2 linked regions of the Mus musculus genome follow. The protein of the gene in region 1 purifies or fractionates together with the protein of each later gene. This does not show direct contact. Links are inferred from orthologs where the notes say so. Each region holds a gene or a part of one and is shown in the gene's direction. Other genes may lie near its edges.

Region 1 (4,263 bases):
GTAAGTTCAAAGCGAAGCTTTGCAAGAATCAGAAAGGGGATGTTTAAATGAAATTGTTTATCTTTTTTTTTTTTTTACACCGTTGTGAGTTTGTTTGTGGTTCCGAGGGCATGTCGCCCGGTGGCAACTAAGATTTTTATTCGTTCCAGAAAAGATAATTCCTCCCTTAGCCAACCTTGCTCTAAGAGTTTGAGTAAACACGCAGCTTCGGCTCCAAGCACTCTTAAAGTGCAACGGACACCTAAGTGGCCTCCCCCAGAACGCCCACCTGTGTGCAGGTCTAAGAGGACGCAACTAAAGTCCAGACGCCTAGAGCTTCGCCCTCTTAGGTATCTGGTAAAAGGAAGGCCCAAGCAAGGGAGCCACAGGGCTCCGCCAAAGTGGCCCGTTTTGTCTGGAGTCTCCAGTCCAAGTCAAGGGCCTTCTCGGCCTCACCGCCCGGCCCTGCCACCTTTGCAAACTTCGCCCTCAACCCCGGAGTAGTTTTGCAAACTCCAGTGGCGAGCCTGACGGTGTTTGTGACTCAGTCAGGAGGCAAGAAGCAGAACTCTAAAGTAATAATCCTGACTACGAGGGGCGTCAGAGTACTGGAGGGGCCGGGAAAGGACTTGTCAGTTCAAGGTCGGCGTGGCCCACGGGACCGGCCGCAAGAGCCGGGGACTGCGCGGTCCCTGCCGCCAGCCTTTGCCTGGTGCTCGGCTTTGGTTTTCATTGATTCCCCACTGCGGGAGCGCAGCAGAAGCTCCAGTCACCACACCAGCTTCGTTGAACCAGAGCGCGTTAATCTATTTATATGGATTATTACAGAGAACAGCGGGCGTTGAGTCACCCAAACATTTGCTTCCAAAAGACCATTTCTAAGCACTTTTTTTGGAAGCCGGCAGACTCCAGGCGCAGAAGCCCAGCTCCGCTTTGACGAGCAGCTGTTGCAATTTCCATTGCTGTAAACGCCAGCGAAGTCCCGGGTACCACGGAGACAGCATCGAAAAGTGGGGGTGGGGGGTTGTGGAGGGTCCTAGTCTAGACACGCTCGCGTGCACGCGCACACACACACACACACACACACATACACACACACACACACACACACACACACACACACACATCGGTTCACACGGAGACCGTTCCAAAACTGTGACATTCCGAGAGTAGAGAGCAAACTTACACACTCGGACGTCCCGGGTCCCCCGCTTGCCCCGCGCCCCCCTCCAAGTCCCCTCACCCCACCATCCACCCTCTGGCTGAGCTCCCCTCCCTTCTCCTCCCCTCCTGTCTCGTCACCCAACCCGGAGCCACAATCCTCCCCAGCCCCCCTTCCAAAATCCGGTCCAATCAGCGACTTGCCAACACTGATGACTCAAGAGCTAGCCGTGATTGGCCCGAGGTATCTAACGTGAAGGAGGAGTATTTATTAGAGACCCTGAGCTGGAAGTCGGAGAGCCGAGAGCGCTGCTCGGAACTGCCTGGAAACTTCTGTGGGAGCGACAACTTTACCAGTTTCAGTCCAGGAACTTTTCTTTGCAAGAGAGACGAGGTGCAAGTGGCCCCGGTTTCGTTCTCTGTTTTCCCTCCCTCCTCCTCCGCTCCGACTCGCCTTCCCCGGGTTTAGAGCCGGCAGCTGAGACCCGCCACCCAGCGCCTCTGCTAAGTGCCCGCCGCCGCAGCCCGGTGACGCGCCAACCTCCCCGGGAGCCGTTCGCTCGGCGTCCGCGTCCGGGCAGCTGAGGGAAGAGGAGCCCCAGCCGCCGCGGCTTCTCGCCTTTCCCGGCCACCCGCCCCCTGCCCCGGGCTCGCGTATGAATCTCCTGGACCCCTTCATGAAGATGACCGACGAGCAGGAGAAGGGCCTGTCTGGCGCCCCCAGCCCCACCATGTCGGAGGACTCGGCTGGTTCGCCCTGTCCCTCGGGCTCCGGCTCGGACACGGAGAACACCCGGCCCCAGGAGAACACCTTCCCCAAGGGCGAGCCGGATCTGAAGAAGGAGAGCGAGGAAGATAAGTTCCCCGTGTGCATCCGCGAGGCGGTCAGCCAGGTGCTGAAGGGCTACGACTGGACGCTGGTGCCCATGCCCGTGCGCGTCAACGGCTCCAGCAAGAACAAGCCACACGTCAAGCGACCCATGAACGCCTTCATGGTGTGGGCGCAGGCTGCGCGCAGGAAGCTGGCAGACCAGTACCCGCATCTGCACAACGCGGAGCTCAGCAAGACTCTGGGCAAGCTCTGGAGGTGAGCGCGCGGGCCGCCAGGGAGGGCTCGGTGGCTAGGGGGGACGCGGGCTGCACTCACCGACCCCGCCCCGCCTCCCTGAGCCGCGGAGTTGTGCATCCTGGGGTCTTTGGTCCAGGATGCAGGGCGGCCGGGGGCGGGGGGAGGGAGTGGCTCAGATTTTGAGAAAGTTCTTGGGATTGCTCTTGGTTATGGCGGGGGGGGGGGGAATGGGGGCGTGAATATGACTGCTTTTAGGAAGGTAGAAAGGAGTGAGGGGGTGTGCCAGCCTGGTCCCTCTGGAAAGGAACAATTAGAGGAAGCAAGCCCACCTTCCTTAGGCCAACTGCGCTCATTCCTGGGGAGATGGAGTGAAGGGAAAGTGTAACTGAGACTAGAGGAGACCCAGGCAAGAATTGGGCAAAGCTACTGAGAACCGGCAGGGGCATGGATCAACAGAGCGAGCTTCTTGCAATTTAAATGGGTTTTCGGAAAGTTTTTACTGCGTGTTGGGAGGGGTGGACCGCTCCGGTAGCAAAGGCGTTTAGAGCAGCCTCAGCAGGGAGCTATTTCCATCTTCAGGGTTTCCAAAATAGGAGGCCAGGGGAGGGGGCGGGGCGAAGAGTGACCGCTCAGGTCGACTCTGAGCACTTTTTTAAAAAGAAAAAGAAAGGAAAAAAAAAGTTCTGAGTCTCAGAGAGGGATGGAAAGCAGACTGGAGGGAGGGGGTAGTGCGCGAAGGAGGGGTGGGGACCTGACAGCTCCCGGGGTTTCATTGACCCCCTCCCTCTTTTCTTCTGCCCCCCCCCCCCAGGCTGCTGAACGAGAGCGAGAAGAGACCCTTCGTGGAGGAGGCGGAGCGGCTGCGCGTGCAGCACAAGAAAGACCACCCCGATTACAAGTACCAGCCCCGGCGGAGGAAGTCGGTGAAGAACGGACAAGCGGAGGCCGAAGAGGCCACGGAACAGACTCACATCTCTCCTAATGCTATCTTCAAGGCGCTGCAAGCCGACTCCCCACATTCCTCCTCCGGCATGAGTGAGGTGCACTCCCCGGGCGAGCACTCTGGTGAGCAAGGCGCGAGTGGTCCCCTAGGGGGTCCTCCTGGCACACTCTTAAGGTGCCCCCCTCCCCAGAAGTATCTGACTTTGCATTCCCTGAAGTAAGGAAACACTATTCTCTGCATCCCCCTCCCAGTTCAGGGCGCTCAAAAACAGCCAAGTTGGCGCGCGGGCGCGGGTGAACACAGGCACACACACACACACATACACACACACACACACACACACACACACACACACACACACATCTCAAACCTTGAATCCTGAGCTGGATTCTTTATTGCAAGGTAACATGTCTTAATTGCTTTACGAAACTTACCCACTTTTCTCTTTGCGCCTCACCCCAAAAGCACACATTCTTCTACAGGTAGCAATTTAGTCTTCCGGACCCTTGGGACCTCAGACCCCTCCCCTGATAAAAGGAGCTTGCCTAGTGTGTACCTGCGGGTTAATCATTCGGCGACTTATCGCTGGTGCAGCGCGCCTCCAGCGCGGGAGCGGGTCCTAATGACACCTTGGCAACCAGGGAGAGTCCCCAGGGGGCTCCTAAGAGTAGGGGCTTTGCAAAGCGCTTGTTGATTTTTTACCGTTTGTCTTTCTCTTTTATGGCCTGCAGGGCAATCTCAGGGTCCGCCGACCCCACCCACCACTCCCAAAACCGACGTGCAAGCTGGCAAAGTTGATCTGAAGCGAGAGGGGCGCCCTCTGGCAGAGGGGGGCAGACAGCCCCCCATCGACTTCCGCGACGTGGACATCGGTGAACTGAGCAGCGACGTCATCTCCAACATTGAGACCTTCGACGTCAATGAGTTTGACCAATACTTGCCACCCAACGGCCACCCAGGGGTTCCGGCCACCCACGGCCAGGTCACCTACACTGGCAGTTACGGCATCAGCAGCACCGCACCCACCCCTGCGACCGCGGGCCACGTGTGGATGTCGAAGCAGCAGGCGCCGCCCCCTCCTCCGCAGCAGCCTCCGCAGGCCCCGCAAGCC
Region 2 (3,500 bases), on another chromosome or scaffold:
TACGTGTTGCTTGTACCCTCTCCCTATTGTGAGTAATGTCAACAGCTGATAGGACAGGAATCCGTGTTTCTGTTCTAATACTCTGTGTCTGTTGTAGTTTGATGGCATCCATGTGGTGAGTGGATCTCTTGATACATCAATCCGAGTCTGGGATGTGGAGACAGGGAATTGTATTCACACGCTAACAGGACACCAGTCATTAACGAGTGGAATGGAACTCAAAGACAATATTCTTGTCTCTGGGAATGCAGATTCTACAGTTAAGATCTGGGATATCAAAACAGGACAGTGTTTACAAACTTTGCAAGGTAAGTCCTGGCCCTCTGTTAGCCTATCTTTAAAAACATCATTGCTATTCAAGAGAGAACCTGTGGAGAACAGAGGTTTAACCTTATGCAGAGTACTTACTCCTGATGAGTTTGTGAATGTTTGGCTTTCAAAAGTAAGCCACCTTGAGAAATGGTTTTCAATTGTGTCTTTAATGTGAAAATTCTTAATCATTTCCTGTGTGTTCTGTTGACTCTGTTTAACATGGCTGTCTCATAGGGCAGCGTTCTTTTTGAGTGATCATTTTATTTTGAATTGAAGCATCTCTGATAGGAAATGACTTTGGCCTTGCTTGGTCAATTCCTTCAGTCGGAATGGAAGGAGTAATGGTGCTCTCTGAGGGGAAGGTAGAGTGAGAAGCATTAGCATTAGGTATAGCACCATTGGCTTCTCCATGAGTAACTTCCTTCTCTTAGTCACAGCCCTTAGAAGGTGTTGTTGTTGTTTGTTTGTTTGTTTGTTTGGAGTGAAGCCATCAGGAGGCAGCACATAGCAGCCTTTGTTCATTAATTGTGACTGTTCCTAGGAGTTTGGGGTAGTCACAAATTCTATTTCCTTCTTTGACTGATCAGTTCAGTGTGGCAGAGTGACAGAGTGACAAACCTGCACGTTCCCTTTTCCAGCAGTGGAATGTGTACACTGGCTGACCAGGGCCACTGGGAGCCGGAGCTCTTGAGACTTGGTACTGTAGTTACATAGCCACCAGATTTCCTTACATCTAAGCTGGTCCTAAACTACAGCAAGGTTGCTAACTGTGCAGCTTTTTAAATACTGCATTTCTTGTATGCCATAATGTAGAAGAGCACAAGTCCCACGCAGAAGCCCTGAACGTCCTTCCTAAGCAGTAACCCGCATTTGCCTTTGCCTAGGTCCCAGCAAGCATCAGAGCGCTGTGACCTGCTTACAGTTCAACAAGAACTTCGTAATTACCAGCTCAGACGACGGAACGGTCAAACTCTGGGACTTGAAAACGGGTGAATTTATCCGAAACCTCGTCACATTGGAGAGTGGGGGGAGCGGGGGAGTTGTGTGGCGGATCAGGGCCTCAAACACAAAGCTGGTGTGTGCAGTCGGGAGTCGGAATGGAACTGAGGAAACCAAGCTCCTGGTGCTGGACTTTGATGTGGACATGAAATGAAAAGCAGACATGATGAATTTTGTCCAACTGTGTAGACAATATACTCCCTACCCTTCCCCCTGCGCAAAAAACAAAAACAAACAAACAAAAAAATGAAAAAAAAAAACAGAAAAAAAAAAAGAGAAAAAAGAAAAGGAAAAAAATCCCTTGTACTCAGTGGTGCAGGATGTTGGCTTGGGACAACAGACTGAAAAGACCTACAGACTAAGAAGGCAAGAAGAGACAAGAGACCGTAACTGACAGGAGGCGGCAGCTGTCGCATCTCGCAAAGGCCTCACTTGTGACTGAGGGGCAGCTTGGCAAGACGACTCTCTAAATCCAACCAGGTGCAATTATTCTTTGTTTTCTTCTCCAGTGGTCATTGAGCAGAGCTACATCAGCGTTGTTACCGTCACCTAGAAAGGAGTGGCAGTAATATCCAAACACGGGCTGCTTATCTTCTAATCAGAGCATCTGCAACAAACCGTCATTTTTCTGAAGTGGAAAAGCTTAAAACAATTACTGTGAATTGTTTTTGTACAGTTATCATGAAGCTTTCTTTTTTCTCTTTTTCCTGTTTCTCTTCTTTTCTTTTTTCTTTTTTTTTTTTGCCAACCATTGCCAATGTCAATCAATCACAGTATTAGCCTCTGTTAATCTATCTCTTTACTGTTGCTTCTACTCTTCAATGCATATGTTGCTCAAAGGTGGCAAGTTGTCCTGGGTTGTGTGAGTCCTGAGATGGATATAATTCTTGATGCTGGTGCTAGAAGTAGGTCTTCAAATCCGGGGTCGTTGTCCCACCCCTGTACTGTACTCCCAGTGGCCAAACTTATTTATGCTGCTAAATGAAAGAAAGAAAAAGCAAATTATTTTTTTTTTATTTTTTTTCTGCTGTGACGTTTTAGTCCCAGACTGAATTCCAAATTTGCTCTAGTTTGGTTACAGAAAAAAAAGACTTTTTTGCCACTGAAACTTGAGCCATCTGTGCCTCTAAGAGGCTGAGAATGGAAAAGTTTCAGATAATAAAGAGTGAAGTTTGCCTGCAAATAAAGAATTGAGAGTGTGTGCAAAGCTTATTTTCTTTTATCTGGGCAAAAATTAAAACACATTCCTTGGGACAGAGCCTGAGGTGCCTGTTCTGTGGAGAAACTTCTTTTTGAGGGCTGTGGTGAATGGAAGAACATACATAGCAAAACTGACAAGATATTTTAAAGATATATAAAACACAAAGGAAAAGGAGGTTGCTGGTCAGTCGTAGCATCTTACAGTATTGGGGAAAACAACTGTTACAGTTTCATTGCTCTGAGTGACTGACGTGAGAGGAATTCGCTCTGCAGTGACGCTGTCTGTCACTCGCCTACCAGCTCGACGAGCAAGAGAGCGGGAGTCAGATGGTCCGCCTCATTCACCAGGAGCCGTAACTCAAGCTGAACTGTGAAAGTGGTTAACACTGTATCCTAGGCCGTCTTTTTTTTCCTCCTCCTGTTTATTTTTTGTTTGTTTTATTTATAGTCTGATTTAAAACAATCAGATTCAAGTTGGTTAATTTTAGTTATGTAACAACCTGACGTGATGGAGGAAACAACCTGTAAAGGGATTGTGTCTATGGTTTGATTCACTTAGAAATTTTATTTTCTTATAACTTAAGTGCAATAAAATGTGTTTTTTCATGTTATTGCGCCTGTTTCTTCCACTAGATAATACTGTTTCATTATAACTATATAGTATTTGTGTCAGATATTTTAAATAGTCAAGTTTTGGGTTTCTTACATCCCCTGCATTGTGACTTAGAAACCAGCACTTCCGAGCTCAGCCAAAGCTGAGGCACTGCAGATGGCACCCCGAGCTGTCAGGGAGGCCACTCTTCTGTTTGCATTGTGTGTATGAACATGAAAGCTCGTTTCTTCAGTCATAAAACTTGGAATTACAACTAGAAGCCTTGTAATAATGAGTTCACCTTCAAATCCCATATACCAAGTGTTCACCAAAGCACTCGCACCATTCTTCTCTCAGGCTGAGAGAAGTAGCCTCTGTCACCTTTGACTCAGATGGC

The links.
Region 2: the proteins of Sox9 (region 1) and Fbxw7 purify together in Homo sapiens (affinity purification with western blotting; 4 studies listed by BioGRID and IntAct, with this or other methods). This does not show direct contact. The link is inferred for Mus musculus from reciprocal best matches to the Homo sapiens genes SOX9 and FBXW7.

Annotation. Positions count from the first base shown.
Region 1 is NC_000077.6:112,780,789-112,785,051, forward strand, and holds the start of Sox9 (transcription factor SOX-9), read left to right. Parts: upstream 1-1,421; 5' UTR 1,422-1,796; coding exon 1,797-2,227; intron 2,228-3,020; coding exon 3,021-3,274; intron 3,275-3,883; coding exon 3,884-4,263. UniProt on the Homo sapiens protein: Transcription factor that plays a key role in chondrocytes differentiation and skeletal development.
Region 2 is NC_000069.6:84,976,077-84,979,576, forward strand, and holds the end of Fbxw7 (F-box/WD repeat-containing protein 7), read left to right. Parts: intron 1-97; coding exon 98-308; intron 309-1,196; coding exon 1,197-1,465; 3' UTR 1,466-3,122; downstream 3,123-3,500. UniProt on the Homo sapiens protein: Substrate recognition component of a SCF (SKP1-CUL1-F-box protein) E3 ubiquitin-protein ligase complex which mediates the ubiquitination and subsequent proteasomal degradation of target proteins.